Rattus norvegicus: one gene and its partners. The main gene of each other region encodes a partner of the protein of the gene in region 5 in a complex. Links are inferred from orthologs where the notes say so. Each region holds a gene or a part of one and is shown on either strand. Other genes may lie near its edges.

Evidence for each region.
Region 1: the proteins of F2 (region 5) and F2r are in contact, whole or in part, in a crystal structure (PDB 3LU9), measured with the Homo sapiens proteins. The link is inferred for Rattus norvegicus from reciprocal best matches to the Homo sapiens genes F2 and F2R. Residues at the interface, in NP_000497.1 of Homo sapiens: Phe382, Arg383, Pro386, Gln387, Glu388, Leu389, Leu390, Cys391, His406, Cys407, Tyr410, Trp413, Lys415, Leu423, Arg425, Arg431, Thr432, Arg433, Tyr434, Ile441, Met443, Glu457, Asn458, Leu459, Asn506, Thr510, Lys517, Gly518, Gln519, Arg541; in NP_001983.2 of Homo sapiens: Ala33, Thr34, Asn35, Thr37, Leu38, Asp39, Pro40, Arg41, Ser42, Phe43, Leu44, Leu45, Arg46, Asn47, Pro48, Asp50, Lys51, Tyr52, Glu53, Pro54, Phe55, Trp56.
Region 2: the proteins of F2 (region 5) and Serpine2 are in contact, whole or in part, in a crystal structure (PDB 4DY7), measured with the Homo sapiens proteins. The link is inferred for Rattus norvegicus from reciprocal best matches to the Homo sapiens genes F2 and SERPINE2. Residues at the interface, in NP_000497.1 of Homo sapiens: His406, Tyr410, Pro412, Trp413, Trp455, Arg456, Glu457, Asn458, Leu459, Glu509, Thr510, Ile542, Asp562, Ala563, Cys564, Glu565, Trp590, Gly591, Glu592, Gly593, Cys594; in NP_006207.1 of Homo sapiens: Val225, Arg288, Ser355, Ala356, Thr358, Thr359, Ala360, Leu362, Ile363, Ala364, Arg365, Ser366, Ser367.
Region 3: the proteins of F2 (region 5) and Thbd are in contact, whole or in part, in a crystal structure (PDB 1DX5), measured with the Homo sapiens proteins. The link is inferred for Rattus norvegicus from reciprocal best matches to the Homo sapiens genes F2 and THBD. Residues at the interface, in NP_000497.1 of Homo sapiens: Phe382, Ser385, Pro386, Gln387, Leu423, Arg425, Thr432, Arg433, Tyr434, Arg436, Asn437, Glu439, Lys440, Ile441, Met443, Lys470; in NP_000352.1 of Homo sapiens: Ser424, Cys425, Glu426, Cys427, Tyr431, Ile432, Leu433, Asp434, Asp435, Thr440, Asp441, Ile442, Asp443, Glu446, Asn447, Gly449, Phe450, Asp479.
Region 4: the proteins of F2 (region 5) and Serpina5 are in contact, whole or in part, in a crystal structure (PDB 3B9F), measured with the Homo sapiens proteins. The link is inferred for Rattus norvegicus from reciprocal best matches to the Homo sapiens genes F2 and SERPINA5. Residues at the interface, in NP_000497.1 of Homo sapiens: Arg383, Pro386, Glu388, Leu389, Leu390, Cys391, His406, Cys407, Tyr410, Pro412, Trp413, Asp414, Lys415, Trp455, Glu457, Asn458, Leu459, Asn506, Arg541, Ile542, Asp562, Ala563, Cys564, Glu565, Gly566, Asp567, Val588, Ser589, Trp590, Gly591; in NP_000615.3 of Homo sapiens: Gln241, Lys295, Lys296, Arg297, Thr368, Ile369, Phe370, Thr371, Phe372, Arg373, Ser374, Ala375, Arg376, Leu377, Asn378.
Region 6: the proteins of F2 (region 5) and Serpind1 are in contact, whole or in part, in a crystal structure (PDB 1JMO), measured with the Homo sapiens proteins. The link is inferred for Rattus norvegicus from reciprocal best matches to the Homo sapiens genes F2 and SERPIND1. Residues at the interface, in NP_000497.1 of Homo sapiens: Lys384, Ser385, Pro386, Gln387, Leu389, Leu390, Cys391, His406, Cys407, Tyr410, Pro412, Trp413, Asp414, Lys415, Leu423, Arg425, Ser430, Thr432, Arg433, Tyr434, Lys440, Ile441, Ser442, Met443, Asn458, Leu459, Lys470, Trp511, Ala513, Asn514; in NP_000176.2 of Homo sapiens: Glu75, Asp76, Asp77, Asp78, Tyr79, Leu80, Leu82, Ile85, Phe86, Asp89, Asp91, Val305, Glu306, Met307, Thr308, His309, Gln327, Asp343, His361, Lys362, Arg388, Thr457, Val458, Gly459, Phe460, Met461, Pro462, Leu463, Ser464, Thr465.

The regions. Positions count from the first base shown.
Region 1 is NC_086020.1:28,606,829-28,610,919, reverse strand, and holds part of F2r (proteinase-activated receptor 1 precursor), read left to right. Parts: intron 1-3,584; coding exon 3,585-4,091. UniProt on the Homo sapiens protein: High affinity receptor that binds the activated thrombin, leading to calcium release from intracellular stores.
Region 2 is NC_086027.1:88,634,101-88,638,742, reverse strand, and holds the start of Serpine2 (glia-derived nexin precursor), read left to right. Parts: upstream 1-1,540; 5' UTR 1,541-1,642; intron 1,643-4,642. UniProt on the Homo sapiens protein: Serine protease inhibitor with activity toward thrombin, trypsin, and urokinase. Promotes neurite extension by inhibiting thrombin. Binds heparin.
Region 3 is NC_086021.1:156,317,203-156,321,841, reverse strand, and holds the start of Thbd (thrombomodulin precursor), read left to right. Parts: upstream 1-1,663; 5' UTR 1,664-1,816; coding exon 1,817-3,550; 3' UTR 3,551-4,639. UniProt on the Homo sapiens protein: Endothelial cell receptor that plays a critical role in regulating several physiological processes including hemostasis, coagulation, fibrinolysis, inflammation, and angiogenesis.
Region 4 is NC_086024.1:128,786,478-128,791,142, reverse strand, and holds the start of Serpina5 (plasma serine protease inhibitor), read right to left. Parts: upstream 3,063-4,665; 5' UTR 3,055-3,062; coding exon 2,960-3,054; exon of another isoform or gene 2,942-2,959; intron 2,635-2,941; exon of another isoform or gene 2,595-2,634; coding exon 1,966-2,594; intron 1,072-1,965; coding exon 801-1,071; intron 251-800; coding exon 103-250; intron 1-102. UniProt on the Homo sapiens protein: Heparin-dependent serine protease inhibitor acting in body fluids and secretions. Inactivates serine proteases by binding irreversibly to their serine activation site. Involved in the regulation of intravascular and extravascular proteolytic activities.
Region 5 is NC_086021.1:98,062,137-98,066,921, reverse strand, and holds the start of F2 (prothrombin precursor), read left to right. Parts: upstream 1-1,675; 5' UTR 1,676-1,690; coding exon 1,691-1,769; intron 1,770-2,129; coding exon 2,130-2,293; intron 2,294-2,958; coding exon 2,959-2,983; intron 2,984-3,185; coding exon 3,186-3,236; intron 3,237-4,785. UniProt on the Homo sapiens protein: Thrombin, which cleaves bonds after Arg and Lys, converts fibrinogen to fibrin and activates factors V, VII, VIII, XIII, and, in complex with thrombomodulin, protein C. Functions in blood homeostasis, inflammation and wound healing.
Region 6 is NC_086029.1:97,176,956-97,180,970, reverse strand, and holds the start of Serpind1 (heparin cofactor 2 precursor), read left to right. Parts: upstream 1-1,215; 5' UTR 1,216-1,258; intron 1,259-4,015. UniProt on the Homo sapiens protein: Thrombin inhibitor activated by the glycosaminoglycans, heparin or dermatan sulfate. In the presence of the latter, HC-II becomes the predominant thrombin inhibitor in place of antithrombin III (AT-III).

The DNA of each region.
Region 1 (4,091 bases), on a different chromosome or scaffold from region 5:
CCCTTGGAAGGTAGATTTCTATGACTTTAGGCCCAGCCTAGTCTGCACAGTAAGTTCCAAGGCAGCCAAGGTTACAAAATATAACCCTGTCTTAAAAAAAGAAAAAAAGAAAAAAGGGAAAAAAAAAGGAAAAAAAAAGCCTAGAGCAGATTTTGAGATTCCTTTCCTGAGACTTTTTTTCCTCCTTCCTGAAATTCTTTCCCAGTGACTGTGGAACTTATGACCAACCAGCTATGTATTGTGACCTCCTCCTTTGTACTAATTTGATTGGGTTTAGGGAATGCAGTAAACTTTGGAGACTGAGAATAGCCAGAGTGCCAGAGAAAACATGCTTAGACCTTTTGCTGTTATTGGGGAGAGAGGGTGAATTTGAGTTAGAACTCAGAAAAGCAGGCAGGTTCAGTGATGCGGGTGATGCTGCCTGCTGGCTGGCGCTCTAAACACCTGCGTCTCTCCGTAGCGGAAGTTCAGTGAATGTTGGTGCCCTGTAGTGGAGCTCTCCCCGGTAAGTGGTAGAAGCTCTCAGTGACTGCATCCCTGCACAGCAGGAACTCCGTCAATGGCTGCACCAGGTTGGGCTTCTAGGAAGGGTAAGAACCTCATCACACAGAGATATAATTATTCTGCCCATCTCCTTGGCCATGCCTTGCAGCTTTCCTGGGAAGTGGTACCCTGGCCTTCCTGGTCACTGATAGGGCCAGATGGATTAACTCTTCATGGGGAGACAATAGTAGGTGATCTCATTTTAGAAGCAGATCACAGTGTCATCTCCACTCAAGGCCTGAGGCAGAACTCAAATTCCATACCACCCGAATGCCCTTTCCCTTAGTGGACTTTAAGAAAGCCCTGACACCTGCACCTTTTTATTGGGTGTTATAAGTCTTGGGTTGGGGGCAGGGGAGGGGGGCAATTGGTGTGTTTCCCTCTCTAGTGTTAGCCAGGAAAAAGGAGATGGGGTCCAAAATAGATTATAAGAGAGGGGTCCATTATAAGTGGCTTCCTAGGTGACTAATTCCTATTATTCCCCATTCAAGATTGAAGATCATTTAGGAGATGGGCTGGGGTTAGGACTTACAAGGTCGTAGGATCTCCATTCGTAATGACCTTCAGACCTTGGAAGAGGATAAGGGACCTGACCTATTAGACCGAGGCAGGATCTGAGTATAGATCAGCTGTAAAGAGAAGAAATCAAGACAGCACCGAGTGCACAAGACCCAGAGACTACCAGATCACTACCAACATTGTATAATGGGTAAAACCCACTGCCACTGTGTGAACTCAGAGGTCACCCCCAAAGCTCTTCACCAGAGGCAGTGGGCGATGCTTTGCTATGGAGGCTCAGTCACAACTTCTCGTCAGCTTCCAGGCATCTGGGAAAGAGGGAAGGGGACGAGAGTCCAGAGCAGGGGCAGGCGCCCCAAACACTTCAGGCATTTGCGGCCTGCAGCAAAGACAAAGGATGTGGTGTCTTGTCCCTGAAACTGCCTTTCGGTTTCCTACCCACTGCCCACCTTAGCTCTGAGAACAGAGCAGCAAAGTGTGTTCCCTACGGTCTGTGTAACATCTCCCCAAGTGCTGTGAGCCCTGAGGGACCAAGGCTCTTTCCCCTCACACCACACTGTCTGTCCTCGGGCAGATTCTCCAGTGGACACCAGTCATGTGTCTTCTCATTTCATTCAATTCAGACACCATCTACATTTGAGAGCTCAGCCCACAAGACTGTCTGTCTCCAGAAAAAGATACCTAAGCCTCGACCTCCAGACTCAGACAGGCTATGTACTAAGGGTTCCCCTGACTTCTACTCAGATTCTAGTCTGCTAGAGCAGCTAGCTCAAGGAACCCAGAGAAGCACCTATGCTTCCCATCCATCAGAAATGGTATTACGGAAGATGCTAATGAATGAATGGCCAGGTGGGAAAGCTGCCCTGCCCTCCTGCCAGTCATGCCTCAGGCTTTCATGTGATCAGCCCTGATTCTGAAGCTATCTAGAGGCCTTGAACCACCAGTCAGCTCATTGGCATACAAAAGATGCTCTTATCCTAGAGATTCCAAGAATCTTATCTATGTGCCGGGAACTGCACAGAGGTCAGGAACGTATTCCTGGGTATCATAGACACTGGCTTTGGATCTCTCTCAAATTAAAAATCATCGGGAAGGGAAAAAAAAGTCTGTCATCCTATCCTCTAAGACCTACCCTTCCTACCTGTGCCTTCTACTGTCCTGTGACCCTGAGTACCTTCAGCCATTGGTGGGGAGTAACACGGAAACACAGCAGAGCCTAAAGTTCTATTTTAAGAGGATTGTCTCGGGGATGCTACACAGCTGAACTCATCATTCATTGCATTACAGATTTGAGAGCCTCTCTGAAAGTTTCCACACCAAAAAGAAAAAAAAAAAAAAATCTGGAAACCCACTGCACTTGTCCAGTTTCCAAGGTTTAACTCTGGCAACATCTCTGAGAGAGAGGCATAGCCAGCCTTTGCCACAAGCACCCCCAGTATCAGGGACTTTGCATTCCCCCTGTGGTTCCTATTTGCACACCTCAGCTTCCCAGCATGCAACAAATGTAGGATTTTTAGCGAAGCTGTTTGTTCCCCAAAGCCTGCTGTCTGACTGGTGCCATTAATTTTTCTCTGACTGACATTTCAAGTGGATAGTTTTGATGGAAGGAGGTGTAGATAATGACATCTGGTTGATACTCCAGAGAGCCTGGTTGACCAGGCATGCACCTTGAGGCATATAGCATTCTAGAATAAGGTCATGGCCAAGCACATGTGCTCCTAGACTGACTTGCTAGGCAAAGAGGCAAGATGCTGGCCGAGGGGGATCGGTGCCTCCTGGCCTTGTGAAGATGTAACTTGAGGGCCTCTGCACCTAGATAGCTAAGCCATCATGACATCCTACTTTGTAAGCAAACTGAAGATTTGGGGAGCTCTGGGTCCTACTCTGAATGGCCCCCTATTCTGTGGCCTGTAGAATTAACTCTCTGCTTTCTATTTTGTGGATTTTTTTTCCTTCGGGAGAGGTGGGTTTCTCAGGATGGCTCAAGCTAGCTGGGGAAGGAAAGAGAAGTCGTAGAAGCTGGAGACGACCTGTGCAGACAGATGGTGGGGTACAATGGTGGGGGGGAGAATGCATGGTTTGAGGGCTGGCAAGGTGGCTCAGCAGAAAAAGACACTTGTCAAGAAGCCTGCCAGCCAGAGTTCAATCCCCTGGGTCCACATGACAGAAGGAGAGGACCAGCTCCCCTCCATCCTGTGCTATGCCTGCTCTCTCCTACCACACAAAATAAAATAAATAAAATGTGAAGCAAAGCGTCTTCGATCTTTCATGGTGAGTGAGGTTTGCAAGATCTCTGGAGTGACCTTTCGCTCCCATTCGTTCTCTGGAGCAGCAGAGAACAAAATGTTGTGCAATATTCCAACCTAGGTGCGTAGTCTCTAACAAGTCCGTAGTCCATCTGTGCAAGATCTAAACCTAGCCATCTGCTCCCCGGGAAAATTACAGAAAACAGACATAGCGCACCTCTGCTTGTCCGGGGTTGCCCGTTTATGTCACTCACGCTCTCGATTTTCTTCCTTCAGAATCTGAGAGGATGTATGCTACGCCGTATGCTACGCCAAACCCCCGCTCATTTTTTCTCAGGAATCCCAGTGAAGATACATTTGAACAGTTCCCCCTAGGGGATGAGGAGGAGAAAAATGAAAGCATACCGCTCGAGGGCAGGGCAGTCTACTTAAATAAAAGCCGTTTTCCTCCCATGCCGCCTCCTCCCTTCATCTCCGAGGACGCCTCCGGATATCTGACCAGCCCCTGGCTGACGCTCTTCATACCCTCCGTGTACACGTTTGTGTTCATAGTCAGCCTTCCCCTGAACATCCTGGCCATCGCTGTGTTTGTCTTTCGGATGAAGGTCAAGAAGCCGGCCGTGGTGTACATGCTGCACCTGGCCATGGCCGATGTCCTCTTCGTGTCCGTGCTCCCCTTCAAGATCAGCTACTACTTCTCCGGCACCGATTGGCAGTTCGGGTCCGGAATGTGTCGCTTCGCCACCGCAGCGTTTTATTGTAACATGTACGCCTCCATCATGC
Region 2 (4,642 bases), on a different chromosome or scaffold from region 5:
TCCTTGATCTGTTTATTCTATCTACACACATCCTGAGCACTTGCTGAGTGTTAAACTACACTTTGGACACAGGGATGCCCTGAGCTGTAGTCTCCATCTCTGTCTCTCTCTGCCTCTCTCTCTCTCTCTCTCTCTCTCTCTCTCTCTCTCTCTCTCTCTCTCTCGACATACTGTGAAGAGGGAGAGAAGAAAAACAGCAAGAAGCAAATAGGGAAGAAAACAAATCAAATCATAATGAGGTTTATGAAAAAAGGGGGGGGAGGAAGTGACTTCAACTCGAAGTGACTTCAACTCCGTAGTCAAAGAAGGCTTCCCAAAGGAAGTAAGGTCTGACTGTGACCTGAGAGGGCAGTCTCTCAGGAGCATTTGGGACAGAGGGAAGAAGAAAAGTATATGGAATTTGTAAACTGTCATGACTGTACAGCAAAGGGAGGCGCACGAGGGTGTCTTTTTTGTAGATTGCATTTCCTTGTTTAGGGGACAAACCTTCCATAGCATTTGTCCCTACAAAAGAAACTGTGAAACACACACACACACACACACACACACACACACACACACACACACACACACACACAGGGTGGAGGAGTGTCTGGCATGGATATAGCCGTGTCAGTGTGGCTGCACAGTGGTCTGAGTTGCTCTAGCAGTGGGTGCAATTTATTTCACAGCCCTAGGGAGATTTTTTTTTTCTTCGCTGGGAACAAACATGGGGCCTGATGGGGAGGGCGTTGCAACAAAGGCAACAGAAACTACCATGAAAGTCCATACAAACCTAACCTGAGCAGAGGACAGAAGAGTGCAGAAAGGGACACCCAGGCGACAGACCATGGGACAGAACAGCCATCTGTTGCTGGCCTCAGGTCTGCAGCAGTTTCCTACTGATAAGGTCTCATGGGCTAAAGGTATAGGTTCAAAACACCTGGATCTCCGGAGCTCTGAGAATACTTCATGATGTCACCACAAGCAAGGGGTCAGTTTCCTGCATGTCCTTGCCTGTCATGTGCCTAGGACTCCCACCGCTCATCCACTAAGCAGGAATAAGTTGGCTCTGGGGCACCTGGAAGGGAGGACCTGTTCTAGCCCTCCAGGTCCTGGCTCCGTTATTCCCATCACCTGCAGGACTGCACACTGTCGACCCCCTCCCTATCCCCAGACGACGCGTCCTGCGTCTCAGGGGCACACCACTGGCTTCGGTGTCGCCCACTCCTCTCCACTCCCCATACGCTCATCCGGACGACCCACGTGCAGCTCTACCCCGGGTTGGCGCCGCACCTCGAGCCCGGCGCGTCTGGCCGGCGCTTTCTGGGGACCCGACCTCCACCGCCCCAGCGAGAGGGCAGCATCCGGCGACCGCGGGTCCGGCCGGGGGGCGTCCTTAAGTCCCCTGCGGTGCAGAGACCTTGCGGCCGGCTGCCACACAAAGGCGGCGGCGGGAAGGCGGGGCGGGGCGGGCCGGGGGGCGGGGGAGGCAGGAAGGGGCGGGGGCGGCGGCGGTGATAAAGCCCCCGCGCTGCCTGGCCGGCTAGTGCAGTGGTTGCACCGGAGCGCGGGCTGCAAGCGTCACCACCGCCTGTCCCCCACCGCCGCGCCGACCTCCTTCCCGGCTCCGGCCGCCACCTGGGGATCCAAGCGAGGACGGGTGAGTACTGGCTGCCGGATCCCGGCCGCTCGGAAAGGAGCCAGGAACTGTCCCCCGGGCAGCGCCGCGACCGGTGCTGGGGCGGGAACTTTCTCGAGCCGCCACGGCCCCCGCTGCGAGCGCTCCTAGCTCCCGCGTCCCTGTCCCCGAGGGCTCGGGCGTCCAGGTGTGCCCCAGGCTGGCGGATCGCTCGCCGAGCTCGGTGTAGCTACAGTGGGTTCAGCAGGGCTGCAAAACGTGACCCTGAACCGGAGGCGTCTGGGCACTCACGGGTAGCACCGACCCCATACTTTGCTTGTGCGCGGCTCCCTGTCCCGGGCGACCGGCTCTTACTTGTAACCTTTCCCTGAGCAGTGCGGAGGTGGGCAGCGGTTTGGGAAAAGGCTTCAGTTCACACTGGCCTTTGCAACAGGCTTATCCCTAGGATGCAGCCCCAGTTCATTGCTATTTCTTATTTATTTTCATCATCTGTAGACCAGGGAATTGAGAGGCCGCCGAGTGACTCCAGGAAAGGTGAAAGTACTCAGAAATCCTAGGCGGAATTAGGTATTTAATTTGCCCCCACAATGAGCCGAGAGGGGAAGCTGCTCTTACATAAGACAGCACTCCACCTTCAGGTATTAGGGAAGGTACTGTTGAGGATTTTTAGTGTTTGAATGAACAAAACAGAATCTCCGCGTGTCTCTCTTGAGAAATCTCCAAACGCGGCTGGATCTTGCTTTGACTACTTTGCAGAGAACGTTCTTATATTTAGCACGAACATAAAAAGGTGTTTGAAGGTTTAACTTTCTCTTTCAAGCCAGGAGGCAGTTTACTTTTCTGAACTGTTCTAGAACAATTGATCTGATAATGTTGTACTTTGGAGATCTCGTACCTGAATGGGAATACAGATAACTGGGAGAAATGTCAGCATCACCGATTTGTGCATCAGACGCACACTTAAAAACTGAAGGCGCTTTCAACACTTTCTGAGGCTCTAAAACAATAATTATACCCTGTCGGCAACATTTAAGCAAAAATATTCTCAAGAGCTATGCCACCGATGATGGCTCCATTAACCATGGAGTTTTAGCTGTTTTTCAGAGTAGTGTTTGGAAATTTTGTTCAGCTAAGGGTGACTCCTGAAGGTCATGAGCCCATGCCATCCTCCTTCTTCTTCTTCTTCTTCTTCTTCTTCTTCTTCTTCTTCTTCTTCTTCTTCTTCTTCTTCTTCTTCTTCTTCTTCTTCTTCTCCTCCTCCTCCTCCTCCTCCTCCTCCTCCTCCTCCTCCTCCTCCTCCTCCTCCTCCTCCTCCTCCTCCTCCTCCTCCTCCTCCTCCTTTGAAAGAATCTATGCAGAAATTTTCTCCCATGAACTTGACAAATTAGCACAATAAGACAGAAATTGCCGCGTCTGCAAAGGATGCTGATTTTCAGCTGCACACGGAGGTGACTTGACAGTGGTCAGAGATGGGTTGAGATGGAAAAGTTGGAAGGCTCCCGGTCCCCCTCCATGGCACTGCCTTCTCTTCTAGCCAGCTCTTCTCCCACATGGTTCAGAACTTTGGCCATTTTCCCCTCTTGTGGTTGTGATGCCACAGGCTCTTGATTCTGTGGCCGTGTCAGGTCCAGCGGTTTACACACACTCAGATTACTCAGTCCTCTCAGCACGGTTCAAGACCTGCCCTCACCTGGGGGTGCTAGGTTTCTAATGTTAGAAGCACCTGCTGGGTGTAGTGATACATACTCTCAAAATCCCAGCGTCTGGGAGGCTAGAGCAGAAGGACGGCTGTGACCCTATCTACATAGTGAGCCCCAGATCAGCCAAGGCTATATAGACAGACAGACAGACAGACAGACACACACACACACACACACACACACACACACACCCCAACACCAACACCAACTCCAGGCTCCTCCCCCTCCCCCAGGCTCTTCCATTGTAGGGTTTTTCTGGTGCCTTCCGTGCTTCAGGTTCTACAGGTGACCTAATGACCTATGTTCCTGAGAAAATAAAGGCCACCAGGCTTATTCCATGGGTCACCTCTGGGCCACCCCGTAAGCATTTCCATATTTACCCATTCATCTGCTCCGTCTCCCCAGACCTGTGTGTGCCTTAAATTATTTGGTGGGGGGGGGCACTTTTCACCTTTGCTAAATATAGCAACTCCTGTCTTCCTGAGATCATCATTCTTACGGTGGGAAAAACGGACAGAAATCACATCTATGGTAAATACTCTGGTGTGTAAAAGGCCGGGAAAATAATCAAGTTGAACTGGGAATTTGTAGATGAAAGCGAAGGCTCCCGGTGCCGGTGACTAATGTCCCCAGCTGTATCATGAATCCCAGCTGTCCCTCTGCTCAGGAATCTTACTCCTCTCTCTTGCCTTCTGTTCATTCTCTCACCTGGACCCCGATTTCAGATGTAATTTTGCATTGCTCTAACCTCCCTTGACCTGGCATTTCTACCTTATCCCCAGGGATCACTAGATTGCTCCATGCTTCTTAAACTATTTCCTACTTCCCCGGTCTCCCTTGTCCTCAGCCCCTGCCAGTTTCCCCAGAACAGAAGAACCTACAATTTCCTGCATGAGCCGTCTCCTGGGTGCTCAGCTGGCCTCCATTTGACTCCAGGCATTTTCTTCCGTGCCTTTCTATAGCTCTCTTCCCTTCTGGTTTTCCTTCCCAGTGCTCCTCCTCTCCCTGGTTAGACTATCTGTGGAGTCTTTGGCTGAACCAGGTTCCCCAGGTTCACCTATCACCAGTACCAAGTGAGTCAGTCCCAGGTTACCATCTGAGCTAAGAGCATTCTCCTACATTTCAATTGGTTACCAGCCTTGAGGTCTTTCTGTGTCGGCTTCTTGTATGCAGGTATGCATATATGTGTTTGCATGCACGTGGAGGCTAGAGAACAACCCCAAGCAACATTCCTCAGACACTGTCCATCTGCTTGGTTTTGTTTTTGTTGAGATAAGGTTCCTCACTAGCTGGGAGCTCCATAAGCAGCCGAGATTGCTCA
Region 3 (4,639 bases), about 58 Mb from region 5:
TTAAAAGAGTGGCATCCATTCACTGCTCTGGTGTTTTCCTTACTGAGAGCTGAGGCAGCTTTGACCCAATAAAGACAAGTTCAGCCAATGGGATGGTGGACTGTACCGGTTTCAGCTCTGGCTTGACAGAGCCAGAGTCCCTCATAGGCAAGCAGATGGAGGATGTTTCACCTGCTTCTTTTTACTGTTTCAGTGCTTTCATCCCACCCTCTTGGCCACAGGTCCATCCGTGTATGTTTTCTCCACACGAGGACATCACAGCCTTCTGTTCTCATCTAAAGTCTGAGCTGTACTGGATCAGAGAAGCTATTTATTAGTAAGTCGTGGGAACTACGCAGGGCTTCCCACAGACGAATTTCCTAACCTCAGGCTAGGCTCCAGGCAGCCCACACTTCTCAGTAGCAGTTATAGTAATGCACCACTGTCCTTGGATTGGTCTAGAGTTCAACAGCACCGCCTCCTGGCAGTTGGGTGGAAGTGACAGCCGCGGGGTGTAGGGCGCGAGTAGGGAAGATGAGGGAGGTGGGGACGAGGTGGCTAAGCTTTGATTTGGACACAGCCCTCCCCATTCTTGGTGAGTGCTTAAGCGGATAAGTCATTAAGTGACAGATTTCCATCCGCCCCTCCCAGCTGCCCACAGGACCCTCCTCTTCAGTGCCGATTGTGAGCAAATGGACTGTAGGCATCTCTATCTTTTGAGACTCTCAAATGACAATGGAAGTGATCACCTCCAAAGGAACCAAGTAGAATCCATTGTAGCTCATATCACCTCCTTGCTGTGGTCCCGGGCCAGTTTCACTAAGGGGTTTGAGATAGGTTTGGAGGAAAACGAAACAGAACAAAACCAGAACAAAGGAACGCAACACACCTTTCCCAGAGAATTCTGGAGGAATTCAAGTGGGAAAGGGGGCCCTGATCTCTGAACCCATACAACACTTGCACGACATTCTCAAGCAACTAGATAGGGTCTGGCCTTGGCGATGCCTGCCCAAGATCAGGGGATTGCTGTCCAGATGTCAGAATGGAGAAGAATGGAGAAGGCTTTGAGGTTATTAGACCACTCCATCCTCTTGCTGCCCTAGTATAATTTCCCGGCCTCTTCTAAGGTCATTTGGGACCCAACCCCTCTGCTAGTCACAGCAGCCAGGCTTCCTGAGCTCCCATCAGGGATCTAGCTAATCCTTCTCAGAGTCTTGCAAGTCTCAGACACACCCTCTACCAGACTCTTCCTTTTTTTCCCCCCTGCCCCAACTACCAGGCCATCCTCCAAACTCTGGTAGCATCTATAGGGAAGTGTGTGTGTGTACGTGTGCGTTTGCTTGTGTACGTGTGTAGAGGTTTAAAGACAGGCTACCCGTGGGCTATACCGGAGAGTCTGGGACGGGAACTGTCGACTTGCTGACACAATTCAGTTCTGTGGTGGCGCCTGCAGGCCACGCCCTAGGGCCTCCCTACGCCCAGACAGTGTTTTTAACTCTTCGCACAGAGGTGATCCCAGGCTGGAGGGCGGGCACAAGGCGTCCGGAGAACCCAGTAATCCGAGAACGCAGCATCAGCCCTTCCCACTAGGCACTTCCTTCCTTTTCCCGAACCTCCAGAGAGGGAGGGCCGCGCATTTATAAACTGGAGCCTCAGCTGAGTGGCATGTCAGAGGCTGCCTCGCAGGGACTACGAACCTGGGCTAGAAAAGTCTAGGCTGAGACAGAGGCTAACTGCTGTCGCCGCAGACGTACGAAACCCTCTGCCGGGACTGGGTGCCTGCACCATCGCAGTGCTAGCGTTTTCTCGTAGCTTGCACGGTGTTCTCCTGAACAGCATGCTTGGGGTTTTCCTTCTGGGTGTGCTGGCTCCAGCTGGCCTGGGGATCTCTGCACTAGCCAAGCTGCAGCCCAAAGGCAGTCAATGCGTGGGGAATGAGTGCTTCGCGCTTTTCCAGGACCCCGTGACCTTCCTCGATGCCAGCCAGGCCTGCCAGCGCCTGCAGGGACATTTGATGACAGTGCGCTCCTCGGTGGCTGCGGATGTCATCTCCCTTCTGGTGAGCGACAGTAGTATGGACTCACGGCCCTGGATCGGTTTACAGCTCCCTCAGGGCTGTGGTGACCCGGTGCATCTCGGGCCCCTGCGCGGCTTCCAGTGGGTTACTGGGGATAACCACACCAGTTACAGCAGGTGGGCGCGGCCCAACGACCAGTCGCCTCCACTTTGCGGTCCGCTGTGCGTCACGGTCTCAACAGCAACAGAAGCTGCACCAGGCGAGCCGGCCTGGGAAGAGAAGCCGTGCGAGAACGAGACCAAGGGTTTTCTCTGCGAGTTTTACTTCGCAGCTTTCTGCAGGCCTTTACGGGTGAATACCCGAGATCCTGAGGGTGCCCACATCTCTAGCACCTACAATACCCCATTGGGGGTCAGCGGCGCGGATTTTCAGACGCTGCCGATAGGCAGTTCTGCTACCGTGGCGCCCTTTGGCTTGGAGCTGGTGTGCAGGGCCCTGCCCGGAACTTCAGAGGGACACTGGACTCGGGAAGTGACAGGAGCTTGGAACTGCAGCGTGGAGAATGGTGGCTGCGAGTACATGTGCAACAGGAGCGCTAACGGACCCAGATGCGTCTGCCCCAGCGGCGGGGACCTGCAGGCTGATGGCCGTTCGTGCGCAAAACCTGTGGCTCAATTGTGCAACGAACTCTGCCAGCATTTTTGCGTCAACAACTCTGATGTGCCAGGCTCTTATTCCTGTATGTGCGAAACAGGCTACCAGTTGGCGGCAGACGGACATCGGTGTGAGGACGTGGATGACTGTAAGCAGGGGCCCAATCCATGCCCTCAGCTCTGTTCTAACACCGAGGGCGGCTTCGAATGCCGCTGCTATGATGGCTATGAGTTGGTGGACGGAGAGTGCGTGGAGCAACTGGATCCGTGCTTCAGATCTAAATGCGAGTATCAGTGCCAGCCAGTAAACTCCACGCACTACAATTGCATCTGTGCTGAGGGCTTCGCACCTAAGCTGGATGATCCCGACAGGTGCGAAATGTTCTGCAATGAAACTTCGTGCCCAGCAGACTGTGACCCCAACTCCCCAAGCTTTTGTCAATGCCCTGAGGGCTTCATCCTGGACGAGGGTTCCATATGCACAGACATTGATGAGTGCAGTCAAGGCGAATGCCTCACCAATGAATGTCGAAACCTTCCTGGCTCCTATGAGTGCATCTGCGGACCTGACACAGCCCTTGCTGGTCAGATTAGCAAGGACTGTGACCCCATCCCTGTTCTGGAGGACTCAGAGGATGGTGGCTCTGGGGAGCACCCATCAAGCAATCCGACGGTAGTCTCTTCGACAGTTCCCCCTTCTGCAAGACCAATGCACTCTGGTGTGCTCATTGGGATCTCCATTGCCAGCCTGTCCCTGGTGGTGGCGCTTTTGGCGCTTCTTTGTCACCTGCGCAAGAAGCAGGGCACTGCTCGCGCAGAGCTGGAGTACAAGTGTACCTCTTCAGCCAAGGAGGTAGTACTGCAGCACGTGAGGACTGATCGGACGCTGCAGAAGTTCTGAGGGATTTACTCCAGAGACCAAGGTGGCCTTTGTCTTTCCGGGCTCTGTACCTCTCCTTTCTCTCTCTTCAGCCTCCCAGCTGTGCTCTCTGGCAATGTAAAAGCATTCTGGCTGGTATAATAACCAGAGAAGAGCTCATCCTCTTATGACAAGCGAGGGTAGGGAGGACTTGAAGCCGGAGAGCCCAGTTTCTTCCAAGTAGAGACTGGACAACTGGGCGGAGGTGACAAATACAGTGAAGATCCCAGAGTGTCCCAGTCCCTCACCTCGGGGTGCAGGATGTGTGGGTGCTGCTGATCTGTAGGCTTGGAGGCAAACCTTGACCCTATGGACTGGAGATGACCCAGATATTTATTTTTTTAAAAGTATTTAGTATTTTCTTCCCTTCAGCTTTATTCTGCTTGTAAGTCTCCAGTCCCTCACCCTTTTCTGTGTCCCTCCATTCCTTTCCCTCCCCTCCCCCTCTCCATCATTCTCCTCCCCGAACCTGATCATAGTTTGCCTTTACCCTTGTCTCCAAACTCTTATGTGAAACAGAAAAAAAAAAAACACTAAACGCAGAAAAATATTTTTTTTCGCTAGCTTTGGCAATTTAATCGGGGATTTCAGGTAACCAGAGCAAAAGAATTTAAACAAAAGTTAAAATGTTTCAACTGAACACTAACTAGTTAATAGTGCTGGAATATCACAGAATTTAAACTCAAGGAAGTAGGGTTTTGATTTTTTTTAATCTTTGTTTTTGAAAGGGTGAGCCTGGGTTTTATGATTGTTGCTGTTGTTTTTTTTTTATTTAGAATGACAAAAGAGGTAATAATTATTAAACTTTTTATGCCGGCTTCTACAGTGTTATTAATTTTTGACAGTGTTTCAAATGTGCAGAGGATCCTTTGTCCAACCCTTTGACATTCCAATAGGACATTGCCATCTTCAGACATATTGGGCCACATTCATAGCTATCCAAGAATGTATGTGGTCCTTAGCCTGGACATATCTGAGACGGATGGATGGAAGCATCTTCCAGTAAAGCTTGAGCTGTATGCTTCGTGCCTGGCTGACTCTCCACTGTGTTTGCCATTTGTAGTCCCAAAA
Region 4 (4,665 bases), on a different chromosome or scaffold from region 5:
GGGCTGGGGCAGGATAGTGTGTGATGGGATAGGGTAATATGGGGTGAGAAGAGACAGGATGGTAACTTCTGAAATTAGATGCTCAGGAGCTTATAAACTCACCTCAGACAACTTAATATTGGTGTGGTCAGTAAGGCCAGACAAGTCAGCATGGGTGGTGAAGATGTCCTGGATGCCCAGCTTGGGGAGGATTTTTTCCAGTTTATAGGTACCCTCAATGGAGAACTTGGGGAGGTAAAGATCTAACTGTCTGGAGAGAGAAGGAGGTCCCTTCTTAGATACCATGAGCTTGCTGACAAGTCCTTAGCACCCACTCTCTGTGGCCTCACAGACTTTCTGGAACCTTCATCTCTGAAGCGTCCCTTGCTTCATATTTAGACTTAGGCTGCTGTTTTGCCTTCTTGCTCTAGCTCTGTCCTCTCCTTCCTGCTCCTCCTTCTCTCCCCATTCCCCCCCCTCCAGTGCTCATGGCCATCTCTACTCTCTCTCTCTCTCTCTCTCTCTCTCTGCCTTTCTCTGTCTCTACTACCCTCTTAACTCCTCTCCCCATGCCCTTATTAAACTCTATTCTCTACTATAAAAAATCACTTAGGCTTCTGGTGTCACCTTAGAACCCCAGCTTTCTGCATCTTATCCCTCAAGCTGGGCCAGGTCCTGGGCTGAAGACTTCATGGGAAGCCTTTAGGTTTGGGGCTATCTCACTGCCTGAGGAGTCCTTCCCACCGGTACTATGAGGTCCTGGAGTGTGTCTCCCCTGACATGGGTAGAAGGCCGTGCCCCCAAAATGGCCCAGAGAGTACCTCTTTGTGAACATCTTAAGCCAGTTCCTCAACGTTCTCTCATCCAGGCCATCCTCTACCCGCTTCATCTTGCCCTCGCTGGGAAGAATAAACAGAGCAAATGTATTGCCTTGGTAAGGGATCCCCACCACCGTGCAGGAAATGTTTTGGTCGAGGATGTAGGAATATATATCTTCGCGGTTCATCATTGGCACCTGAATGGTCTTCTTGGGAGTCACATGGTAATCCATCTTGTGGGTGTTGGTGCTACTGAAGGCCGTCTGCCACTTGGCTAAAGATGAACAAGGGGTAGGAGTAAAAGAGAACTGGGTAAAAATGAGACCCTTGGCTGTGACTGAAGAGTGGAGACAATCCAAAGAGTGTCTCTACAGAGCAACCTCAGCAACAGCAGTACCCATAACTCAGAGGCCAAATCCCCTCATAACTCTGGGGTATCCTGAACCTTTAATGTGCCTGTCCTCCTGTCCTCCTAAACTCTTGCTGTGGTGGTTTGAATGAGAATGCCCACCCCCCACAGTCTCATATGTTTGAATGCTTTATCTCTGGTTGGTTGAATTGTTTTAGGAAGGATTAAGAGGTGTGACCTCGTCAGCACATATTGGTATGACTTTGAGAGTGGGCTTGGAGGTTTCAAAAACCCACACCAGCACCCCTTCCCTCTCTGCTGAGTGTTTGTGGATCATACGTAAGCTCTCAGCTACTATTCCAGCACCATGCCTATCTGTGTGCTACCATGCTTCCTACTGTGACGGTCGTAGACTCTGAAATGGTAAACCAGCCCCAATAAAGTGGTCCTTTAAAAAAAAAATCTGTCCTGACCATTGTGTCTTGGCATGGTAACAGACATTTGCTTTCAGTAGTCTTTGACCCCCTCCTGTTTCCTGCCCTCTTAATCCTGATCAGGTCCTTATCCTGTTTCTAGTGGCTTTGACAGTTAGGGTTGTTTTGTCATGATGGCTATGACAAGGACCAGCTCCTGACTGTTGGATCACCGACAGACTAATAAGGATGCTCTGTCTTACATGGGGCTGCCTTCCTTCCACCCAGCTGGCACCTGGGTGAGTTGCTCTTTTATCAGGGAGGGAATGCTATCTTATGATAAAAAATAAAAATAAAAACAGAAAAGAGAAAAGACAGAAAGTTCAAGTTGGAGCCTAAGGCTTACCTTTGAAGAAGATATAATTTACCACCACCATGACGTGGGTGCTGTCAAGATCCTTGATCAAGTCTACAATCTTGCCGTTGGTCTTCTTGGCTACATAGTCATTGATCTGCTTCTTAGCACTTTCAGGGTTCCCAAAGTTGGTAGAGAACATGTCTGACATGTACAATGTCTTCATGGCACTCAGAAAGTGGTCCCGGATATGTACTGCTGGGTCTGTAAAAAGGGCACTGCCTAGGCTCAGCTGGAGGCCATCACTAGGCTGGCTGAACTGCTGCAGCAGCTGTTGGAAGCCCTTGTGGAGCATATCCTCTTGGCCTTGCTGGAGGCTGAGGCCCAGGCCCTCCAGGATCTGTGCCTTAGTCTTCAAGCCTGACCCCAGGGAGAGCATACCCAAGCTCATAGACACGCTCATGGGGGAGAAGAAAACATTCTGACCAGGGGCTTCAGAAGCCAAGGCCCTGTAGAGCCTGAAGGCAAAGTCTCTGCTTCGGGAAGTCCCCACAGCACCCACAGAGGACTCTTTAGACTTCTTCTTCTCCTTAGAATGGGAGCGTTGGCGGGAAGCCACCCCGTGACTGAAGAACAGCACCAGGCACAGAATGGGGAAGAACCTCATTGTGGCTGCCATTCTGAGTGGGAGAAGAGGAAAATGTTCTTAAGAGAGAACAGCTGTGGGTCAAAGTGAGAGAGACAATAAGTAGGCTGACATCTGCAAAGATGTCCCCTTTTATCCTCCAAGAGGATAAGAAGGAAGCTAGGCCATGGGGCTGCAAAGATCAACATGCAATGGAGTTACAAGAGGGGAGAGAGAGAGAGAGAGAGAGAGAGAGAGAGAGAGAGAGAATATCACCATTTTCCCCCCATAACGTCTTAAGTTTAGGATTTTGCATTGTGCCTCATTCATAGGGTTCCTTGGCTGCAGATTGCCTAGGGGCTATGTTCCACCCACCCACATCCTTAAGGCCATCGGTCCTACCTCGGCAGGTGTACTCACTCTGTATTGTGGTGGCTGAGTGTCTTGATGGGTAGCAATCCACCTGGCTTATGAGAAGAGAGAGGACAGAGTGAATTATAGCTGGCAAATGTCATGGATCACAGAGACTCTGTCTCCACCCCATTCCAACTCTGCCCCACTGGGAGCTGGGCTAATCTAAGGCTTTCTCAGGGCCCCTGATAAAAAGACAAAATGAACCTACTTCTGTTTCTTTGTCTAAGAATGTGCCTGTCAATACCAGTCTGAGACTGAGGCTGGAGCCTTGAAAGTATTAAGATTTCTGTTCCTGGGACTTGGCTCTTTCCCCTGAAGAGATGGCATTATCAATCCCAAGGCCTCTGTGTGCTCAGTCTGTAATGTTCTTGAGATAACCTGTTTTCCTTCTGCAACATTGTTGATTAGTTTCCCTCTGACTTTGTCCCATTGTATGATAGTTTCTGCTGACTCTATCTCCTCTTCTCCCCAGTCCTAGTATATAAGATACTATACTTTTAAAAGACACTTGCTTGGTATAAGACATAGGTGTGCAAGCAAGACTTCCTGATCCTAAACTGTATCGTCTCTATCTTTTGTTCTCTTTATCTTCTGATCCCCTGATCCTTTCCCTCAGGGCATTGTTACTTTTAAAGAAAAAATAAAATAAATGACCGAACCATCCAAGTCAAGTAGTACCTGAAGAGGGACACCTGAATATGAGAAAGAGAGTGAAGTATGGCCATAATTCATAGAGAAATTTAAAAATAAAATTGTTCCCAGAAAGACCACCTGGAGGAAGGAGTAGAAACTTCAGGAGTAAAATAAGGGATAGGAAAGTCATCTTCTTAACATAATATTGTTATTATTTGGGAATTTGACATAATGTATCCCATCCTCCTTACTTCCCAGCACCCCAAGCCCACTCCCCACCTCTTGTGCCCCCCCAAAAAGATTTAAGAAACCAGTTTGTGTTGTTTATATACTCACTGGAGCATGGTCAGACTCCTGGTGGCCAGGCCGTTAAAGATGAGCGAACCCCTCCCATCTCTATGCCCACCAGGAGCCATCTACTGTGGAAAGCCTCTATATCCTTATCCTAACAAAAACCTGCTTGGTTTTGCCAGATTCTCCCCACTACAGCATAGGTGTAAGGGTTGGGGATGAGGGCCTTTGTGAGCTGTGTATGGGAGGTGTGTGTGTGTGTGTGTGTGTGTGTGTGTGTGTGTATACACAGTCAAAACTTACAGCCACTGCTGCACAGATTTCAGAACCCAGGTTCAGACAACATGCCCAGGCTCCTAGACACAACAGTCCTTCATTGACCTACCTTTGCCTGAAGAGATGATTGCTATAAAACCTCTTTCCCAGTCAATTTTACATTAAAAAATAAATAAAAAGGAGATTTATCTACATGACATTAAAAAGTCTCATGATATTTAAAAAATAGAAAATGTTATAAAAATAAAGCTATTTTACATGTTATTAAAAAATAAAATATCATAAAGATAAAAGATACAGTATTAAAATATGAAATACCTGAGATGAAAATATTTTAATGAAAATTTATATATACAGAAATAAATTATGTTAATAAATAATGATTTACATAAAGATTGAGGTGGATATATGTAGGTGAACTATATAAAATTAAAAGGGTTATGTTATAAAGTTCTGAGTAAGTTATTTAAATATAAAAGGCTTAAATATATACAATTTAAAGTTTTTAAGGC
Region 5 (4,785 bases):
ACTCCGGAGACCAGGCTAGTCTCAAAATCAGAGAGATCTTTCTGCCTTTGCTTCCCTAGTGTTGGGGTTAGAGGTGTGAGCAGCACACCCAGATGCATAGGGTTTTTTTTTTTAATTATTTTTTTTAGCCAGGCAGTGATGGCACACACCTTTAGTCTCAGTGCTCAAGAGGCAGGGGCATGGGCTGGAGGGGTGGCTCAGAGATTAAGAGAACTGACTATTCTTCCAGAAGTCCTGAGTTCAATTCCCAGCAAGCACATGTTGGCTCACAACCATCTGTAGTGAGATCCGATGTCCTCTTTCGTTGTATCTGAAAGCAGCGACAGTGTCCTCACCTACATACATATAATAAATAAATAAGATCTTTAAAAAAAAAAAGAGGCAGGGGCAGGTGGATCTCTGAGTTCCAGACCAGCCTGATCTACAGAGTGAGTTCCAAGAGAGCCAGGGCTACACAGGGAAACTCTCTTTCAAAAAACAAAAAAGTTATTTTTTAAAATGTAGCTGGAGAGATGGCTCAGTGGTTAAAAGCACTGACTGCTTTTGCAAAGGATCCAAATTTGACTCCTGGCACCCACACTGGGTGGCTCATAACTGCCTGAGCTCCAGCTCTAGGGATCTGACCTCTGGCTTCCTTGGGTACCAGCCTCACATGCATTACCCACACATAGACATATACACATAATCAAAAAAGAAAACTATAATATATGTGATATGTTTCATATATGTGTATGTGGGCCACTCAGAAATTATACTGTGGGCTTCCCAGTGCCTAGCCCTCTGCCAGCTGTTTCCCGGACTGTACATGACCTCTGTCAGCCCTGATGAAGTTAAGGCAAAGCAGGAGTCCCTGCTCCCGGGTGTGGGTGTACCTGCTCTTTGTCCCTCTGTTCTATTTAGACCCTGGACTAATATTTACCTTGTAAACAGGAAATGGGGGAGGGTGAGAAGCAAGGCTAGAGCTGCTGTGTAGAACCAGGAGCCTTAAGAGACTGGTGCAGTGCAGACAGGTTGTGAGGGAAGGAGCTGTGTCAGGGAGACCCAGAGACTTGGGCCAGTACCCGTTCTGGGGCAAAAGATTGAAGAAGACAGCTAGAGGCCACATGTTCCTGGACTTGGCTCCTCCCCGGCAGCCTCTATTCACAGCACCCACAACACCCTTAGAGGAGAAGAAAGAGGAGCCACCTCCTGGCTGAGAGCTACCTTGTCTCATAATGAGAGAGCTTTTGCCTGGCCACGCCTCTCTCTATTCCTTATATCTGTGCACACATCTGTTGATCAGTAGGCCCCGTGTTTCGTGTGCTCTGCATTGGTATGCTCGATTAGTTCTCAACACAAAGCGTTATGCCCGCTGCACAGATAAGAAAACTGCAGTGCGTGGTTGTGAAGAGTTTTGCACCATCCCTGTTGTTGGGATGAGGAGGAGCCCCCAGAAGGACTCACTGATTTACATTTACTCACATAATAAATGTAAGGTGTTGGATGATGGTCTTCTCTATATGACTTTTCTCCCCAAGAACATCCACCCCTGGTTCCAGGAGAAACTGTCCTCTTGAATGTCAGGGGTGGACATTTGTCCCCAAGGCCCTGATCTGCTGACCTCTCCCTTGCCACTGATTTCTTCACATTGGTTCAATATTAACCCAGAGAGAGTCAGGACAATCCCTCAGATCCCAGGAGCTGACACACTATGTCGCACGTCCGCGGCCTGGGCCTACCTGGCTGCCTGGCTCTGGCTGCCCTGGCTAGCCTGGTACACAGTCAGCATGGTAAGGGGCACTTGGAGGCCTCGGGCAGAATAGAGGATGTGGGAAAGGCCTGAGGGCTGGGGTTTCCCTGCCTAAGATCAGAGAACACAGGGACAGCCCCAGGTGGACCTCAGATCAGAGTGTCCAGCTTAGAGATGTCGTCGTGTGTGGTGCAGGGAGAAAGGCATCGCTTCTGGGGAGTGGGCTAGGGCAACCAATGAAAGGCAGACGACTCACAGACTGTTCAGTGGCCTTCTGGGTACTTTCCTCATCCCCTCTGTCCCCTCTTGGAAGCTAGCAGAGCTGCCAGCTTCCTACCCCTAATGGTTAAGATAGCCAGGCTTCCAGAGGCGATTCCCATGCCCCTGCCCCCTGCTGCAGTGTTCCTGGCCCCTCAGCAAGCACTGTCGCTGCTCCAGCGGGTCCGCAGAGCCAACAGCGGCTTCCTGGAGGAGCTCCGAAAGGGCAACCTGGAGCGTGAGTGCGTGGAAGAGCAGTGCAGCTATGAGGAGGCTTTTGAGGCCCTGGAGTCTCCCCAAGACACGGTGAGCCCCACAACAGTGGCTGCTAAGAGGCAGGGCAGGTAGGCAAGGCCTGGGCTTCCTCAGCAGAGGAGTGCAGAATCACAAGTGACAGGAGTAGGAAGCATCCGGGTTGTTTCCCGTTTCAGACTTTCACTTCCATTCGGACCCCTGTCTCCTTGAGCTGCAAGATGGGCACCCAAAATCTGTCTTTGGGACTGTAGGCCTGGGTTGTCATGACATGAGGAAAGCTCATCAGCGTCAGCCCCCAGTATACTGCGGCTGTCTGGGTTGTCTGGTGTCTTTCTTGCTTAAGCCTTTCCGCCATCTTTGTGTTCCCTTGTGTACCCACTGGCTCTGGGGCTCTGTTCCATTCCCTTCGGGGGTTGGGGGAGGGTGTAGTGAGCTCTTTTGTCTCCTCCAGCCTGGAGGAGATCTTGTTCAGTCAAGTGTGCTGGGGCCTCTTTCTCTCTTCACATACTCTCTCACGGGTTGGGGATTTAGCTCAGCGAAAGGCCCTGGGTTTGTCCTCAGCTCCGGAGCGGGAAAAAAACAAACAAAAAAACATACTCTCTCCTTTTGGAAGCCAACGTAGGAGACTAAAGCTGGGCTCAGGTGGTAAGGAACGGACGTAGTGTAGAGTAGAACTCCATCCTGCCATGGCCTCACCCCCAACCCTTGCTTTGCAGGATGTGTTCTGGGCCAAGTACACAGGTGAGTGGCCAGCAAGGTTTGCCCAAGGAGGGGAGGCTGGGGAAGGGGGTACTCCAGCCAGAGAATGCCCTCTCCTTCAGAACTTGGTGCTGCATAAAGCACGCCCCGCACCCACTCTGCCCTCCCACATCCCTGCCTCCATCACCTGTTCCCACCCTGTCCCCACAGCGATACCAAGTGAATTTCTGCTTTTTGTTTTCAGTGTGTGATTCAGTGAGGAAACCTCGAGAGACCTTCATGGACTGTCTAGAAGGTGGGGAACAGACTCTGCGTGGGTGGGTGGGTGCTGGGGAAGCCTGGGAGAAAAGAATTGCTGACTGGTCAGGAGCCTTGGCTCAAGTGGTATCTTCAGTGCCTGACAGTGCCTCTTCATCCTTGGTCAAGGATGCCTTTGCATGTGGCCTTGTGTCTGGCACTTAGCCAGACTGTTGGAGGAATGAATGGATGATTAATCTCAGGGCCCTACTGCACTTCTGTTCACCATGTGTCAGAGCTCGGTCTTGTTAATTCACTCTCTAAAAACGTTTTTGTTTTGTTTTCGAGACAGGGACTCCAACAGCCCAGGGTGGCTTTAAACTTGCTAGGTGCTGAGGATGACCCTCCCATTTCTACCTGCCCAGGGCTGGGAGTCCAGGCATGTGCCTCCGATGGCCAGGTTCATTCTCCTGGACATCTGACAACTCCCCATTACTCACAAGCTCTTAGCTAGGAAAACTTTGCCTCTCAGGCCTTGACTTCCTATTCTAGACGCCCCCTCCCCCCAGAAGTGGACCAGTAAACATGTCAAGATGTCTCAATCCTTGCTTACTTTGTTACTTTCTCCAGAGCAGTCAACAATCTCCACTGAAAACCCTGTCCTCCCCAGGGACTTCTCTGAGTCTTAGGGACAGCCTCCCTCTGAAGCATTCTGAATATACCTTTATTCTAATGATAGGCTTTACTATGGACAGGGAACTCCTTAAGGGCTATAGTTTCCTTCCTCCTTTCCTTCCTCCTTTTCTTCCTTCCTTCCTTCCATCCTTGAGTCAGGGTCTCTGGTAGCCTAGGCTGGCTTTGAACTCCTAACCCCCCACCCTCCCATCTGCATCTGAATGTGGAGCCACACACCTGCACCACTGTGCTCAGCTCATGGTTCCACTTCTTTCTAAATTTTTTATTTCCTTAAGATGGTGATTTTTTTTTTAAAGACTAGATTTTTCTATTTAGCCTTGGTTGTCTTATAACTTGCTGTGTAGACCAGGCTGGCCTGAAACTCACAGAGCTCTACCTGCCTCTGCCTCTGCCTCTGCCTCTGCCTCTGCCTCCTGAATGCTGGGACTAAGGGCATAAACCACCACACCAATACTTGTCGTTTTATTGTAATATGAGTGGGTGTTTGCCTGATGTACATCTGTATACCACTTATGTGTCTAGATCTGCAGAGGCCAGAAAAGGGCATTAGATCCCATGGGACTGAACTTAGAGGCCTTGTGTGCTACCCTGTGGGTGCTGGGAATCAAACTCTGGTCCTCTGGAAGAGCAGCCAGCGCTCTTAACCACTGAGCCTTCTCTCCAGCACGGGGATATCTTTATGTAGATAGCGTCTAAATGCATATGAACTGGCCTTGAACCCTCTTGTACTTCTGCTCGCTGAGAGCCAGAGTTATAGGAGGAGCCGCCAAACAGGTGCTGGGGGTATTAAGAGCATAGAAAAATGCTGGGTTTTAAAGAACTCACAAGCTCAGGATAACAGAAATACCGTAGGGATTCCTGGAAAGGCAGGAGAGAGCAGGAAGAGCAGCTGGCTTGTCAATCCGAGATGG
Region 6 (4,015 bases), on a different chromosome or scaffold from region 5:
TCTGCAGGGAAGATGCACCAAAAAGAAACAGCATTTAAGTACCAAGGGATTCTCACAAGGGCTCAGAGTCTGCCACAACTGACACTCAAAGCAGTCCCTAAGTAGACTGGAGTCTCTCTGAGCAACTTGATGCTGCTCCTGGTAGAGACCTATGTGGAGTTAACACACTCTCTCTCTTTCTCTCTTTCTCTCTCCCCCCATCTCTCTCTCTCTCTCCCCCTATCTCTCTCTCTCTCCCCCACCCATCTCTCTCTCTTTCCCCCACCCATCTCTCTCTCTCCCCACCTCTCTCTCTCACTCTCTCTCTCCCCCAACTCTAACTCACACACACACACTCTCTCTCTCTCTCTCACACACACACTCCCCCCCCCCTCTCTCTCTCTCTCTCTCACACACACACACACACACACACAGACACAATTTAGTACAATATAATCCAAAGATATATTAATTTGGTAATTATGTGCTGAAGAATGACAGTAGAAACACATTTTAAAAGTTTTTGAGGGGTTGGGGATTTAGCTCAGTGGTAGAGCACTTGCCTAGCAAGCGCAAGGCCCTGGGTTTGGTCCCCAGCTCTGAAAAAAAAAAAAAAAAGAAAAAAAAATTTTTGAGGACAAGACGTAGTGGTACATATCTTTAATTTCAACACTCAGGAGGCAGAGACAGGTAGATCTCTGTGAGTTCAAAGCCAGGCTAGTCTACACAGTGACAGCCAGGACAGCCAGGGCTACACAGAGAAACCCACCTTGAAAACAAACACACAACTCAAAAGGTACAACCCAAAAGATGTACACCAATTTATGCATTTGCTAAGTCACCAACCTTAACTTGCCCCTTCATTTTTCAATGGGGAATAAGCTTTCCATGAGCTTAAGGAGACTCCACCCACAGTGTGCCAGCGGCCTTCTCACAAGGGGGGCCCAGCAGATATGGCACCCAGAACGATGCACAGTGCCTCAGTTATGCTTAACTTTACAAGATATCCTGAACAAGATGGGGCAGACATGCTGATAAAGATAGTGACATTCCAAATCACAGCCACACAGAAGAACTGGCGTTTGGAAGTAGTTTGTCCCCAAGAAGTGATCAAAGAGAGCTGAAAGGGTTCTGCTGACAAAGCTACTTGAGTAGTGTTTGAATTAGGACATATTTGCTTTGGAAAACACACAACAGCTCAGCACCAAAGTTCACCCTGAAAACTGCTGGTGGCCCCTCTGGTCTCATCTCTGCCACGCCACTGCTCAGAGGCACAGAGGTAAGTTTGGTTACTAACATTTTTTGCCAATTATAAATTTTTGTTAATATTTAAAGCTAGATAATTGGTTCCTTTATTAAAGTACAAATTGAGAAAAAGAATATATCATTAATTTTAAATTTTAATTTAATATTTTTTAAAACTTAGTTTAATATTTAGTTTAATATTAATATTGGCATAACTGACAAAACTGGAACTTGAATTTTAAGAGACAAGAGTATTGTACCTTTGATACTTTAAACTGGAGACTGGCATGGTAGCACAAGGCTGAAATTCCAGCATGGGTAGCGCTGGGTATCCATCACCTCAGGGCACTTAGATGACTGTCTAGTGCTTAAGTATGACAATATTCCTGTTCTCAGGAAGTTTCCCTAAGCATCACTATTAAAGGTCGGAGGAATGTAAGAGTTCTAACCTCAAAGGCTCAGAAACAATGTACATATGTAGACACATATACATGTACACACATATGCACATATCACACCACACACACACACAAAGGAGACACAGCGGCTGCACTGCTATTCTATTCTTTCAATTCTTCTGTAAGATTGTAACATAAAAAGGTTTCCATGTTTCCCCCCCTTCTTGCTTGCTCTGTGTGAATCTGGAGACATCATGGCAGGAGATGGAGTTCTCTATGACACACATACAAAAAGGCCAACTCAATCCATGCAACTCTCAAGAATACACTATATGGTGTTCCCTGAAAATACAGCTTGGATGATTTACTTTAAAAGCACAGCACTTCGGGCTGGAGAGATGGCTCAGTGGTTAAGAGCACTGACTGCTCTTCCTGAGGTCCTGAGTTCAAATCCCAGCAACCACATGGTGGCTCACAACCATCTGTAATGAAATCTGATGCTCTCTTCTGGTGTGTCTGAAGGCAGCTACAGTGTACTCATACAATAAAATAAAATCTTAAAAAAAAAAAAAAAGCACAGCACTTCAATTCAAAGACAGTAACTTGAATGCAAACACAAGTTACAGGTGTCTTTAAATGCCTTAATTGTTTTATGAAACTGATGAGCAAAATAGAAAGATTTACCTGTCAGATCTCTAATTTTCAGTGCATAAAATAACTTTATATTTTTCCCTTCCTCTAAGAAGAGAATAATGAAACTATGGCTTATGGCTTTTGGATATAGAATAATGAACTATGGCTCATGGCTTTTGGATATAGAATAATGAACTATGGCTCATGGCTTTTGCTGATGCTTACCCTCCCAAGCCACCCGAGCCCAACCGGAATGTGTCTGTGTCTGCAGTTCCAGGATAAGACGAAGAATAGCTTTACCACTGGGCTCAGACTAGTCCCCTTGAGCACACATTAACTGAAGTTGGCTTTTCTTCTTCTTTAATATTACTGTTACTAATTGCTGTTTTAGCCAAGGGTACTTTTAATTGTAATCATAAAAACACTTCCATTAAGTTGCTTCTGTCCTCCCTTTCTTTTTAGAGAGATGTATTTTCTTTTTATTTGTGAATATGCACTTGTCTGTTCAAGTGTGCACCACATGTGTGCAGATTGCCAGACGAGTGTCAAAACCCCTTGGAACTGGAGTTACAGATGGCTGAGCCACCTACCTGGAGGGCTGGGACCTGAACTCTTGTTCCTCTGAAAAGTAGGAAGTACTGAGTGCTGAGCCCCCTCTCTAGCCCGTTTACTGTCAGTGACACCCATGCTGATTCTGTCTTGAAATGGCTCTGGTTGTAGCTGCATACATTAGGTACTGTTCCTAGAAACTGTTCCACATGTGCACATTATGCAGCACCGGTCTCAGCACAGTGCTGAGGAGGCTCAGGCATATTCAGAATCAGAAAACCTGTGAGTCTTTTTCCAAAATAAGCACTTCTGAAGCCCCGCAGCCAGCTGTAGATATAGCTAGGAGAGCGCCCTGCTAGCGCTGAGAGCCCTGTCTCACCCCAGCACTGTACAGAATAGTTACGGTGATACAGTTCTACAACTGAGGAGGTATAGGTAAAAGGGTCAGAAACTTAAGGTCAGCCTTGGGATACAAGATTTTCAGCTGGCCTGAGATGCTCAATGTCTTTTTAAAAAGTCCCTCAGAAATAAAACCATGTTAGGGCCAGGAGGTGGAAATACCACGCCTTTAATCCCAGTGCTTGGGAAGTAGAAGAAGGCTGATCTCTACAAGTTCAACCAGCCTGGTCTAAAGAGCCAGTTCCAGGACAGTCAAGGCTGTTGAGAAACCTTGTCTCTAAAAAATCAAATCAAAACAAACAAAAAACAAAGCTGGGAATGCTAATTTTAGCCACATTGTAGGGGATAGGCCCTAAGGACAAAGATTGACAACAGCTGCTCCCCAAGCGTGAGCAGTTCTGAGTGTCCTGGCACTCTACGGCAAGCAAGGCAGGCGTGTGAGACCAGGGACCTGGTTTAACCAACCTGGTTCAAATCTAGTCATTATCTACCATCCCTCAATCCCTACATTTTAGAGCTAGGGACTGAACCCTGGTCCCATGCAATCTGTGTGAGAGTAGTTAATATTTATCTATATTCCTGGCTCAAACCACTGCCATCTCTTAGTAGCTGCAAAGGAAGGCTACATCTCATGATAGGTTAAAATCGTGGCAGAATTTCAAATAGAGCATCTGCAAAGCTAGTCCCTAACTGTCTTCAGGTCAAACAGGTCTGAATACTTTATTAGGAGCCAGCAACCCTTAATGAATATAGACTGGCAACAGATATTCTAAACCAAGAAATGGTCACAGGCACAAAACAGACTTCTCTTT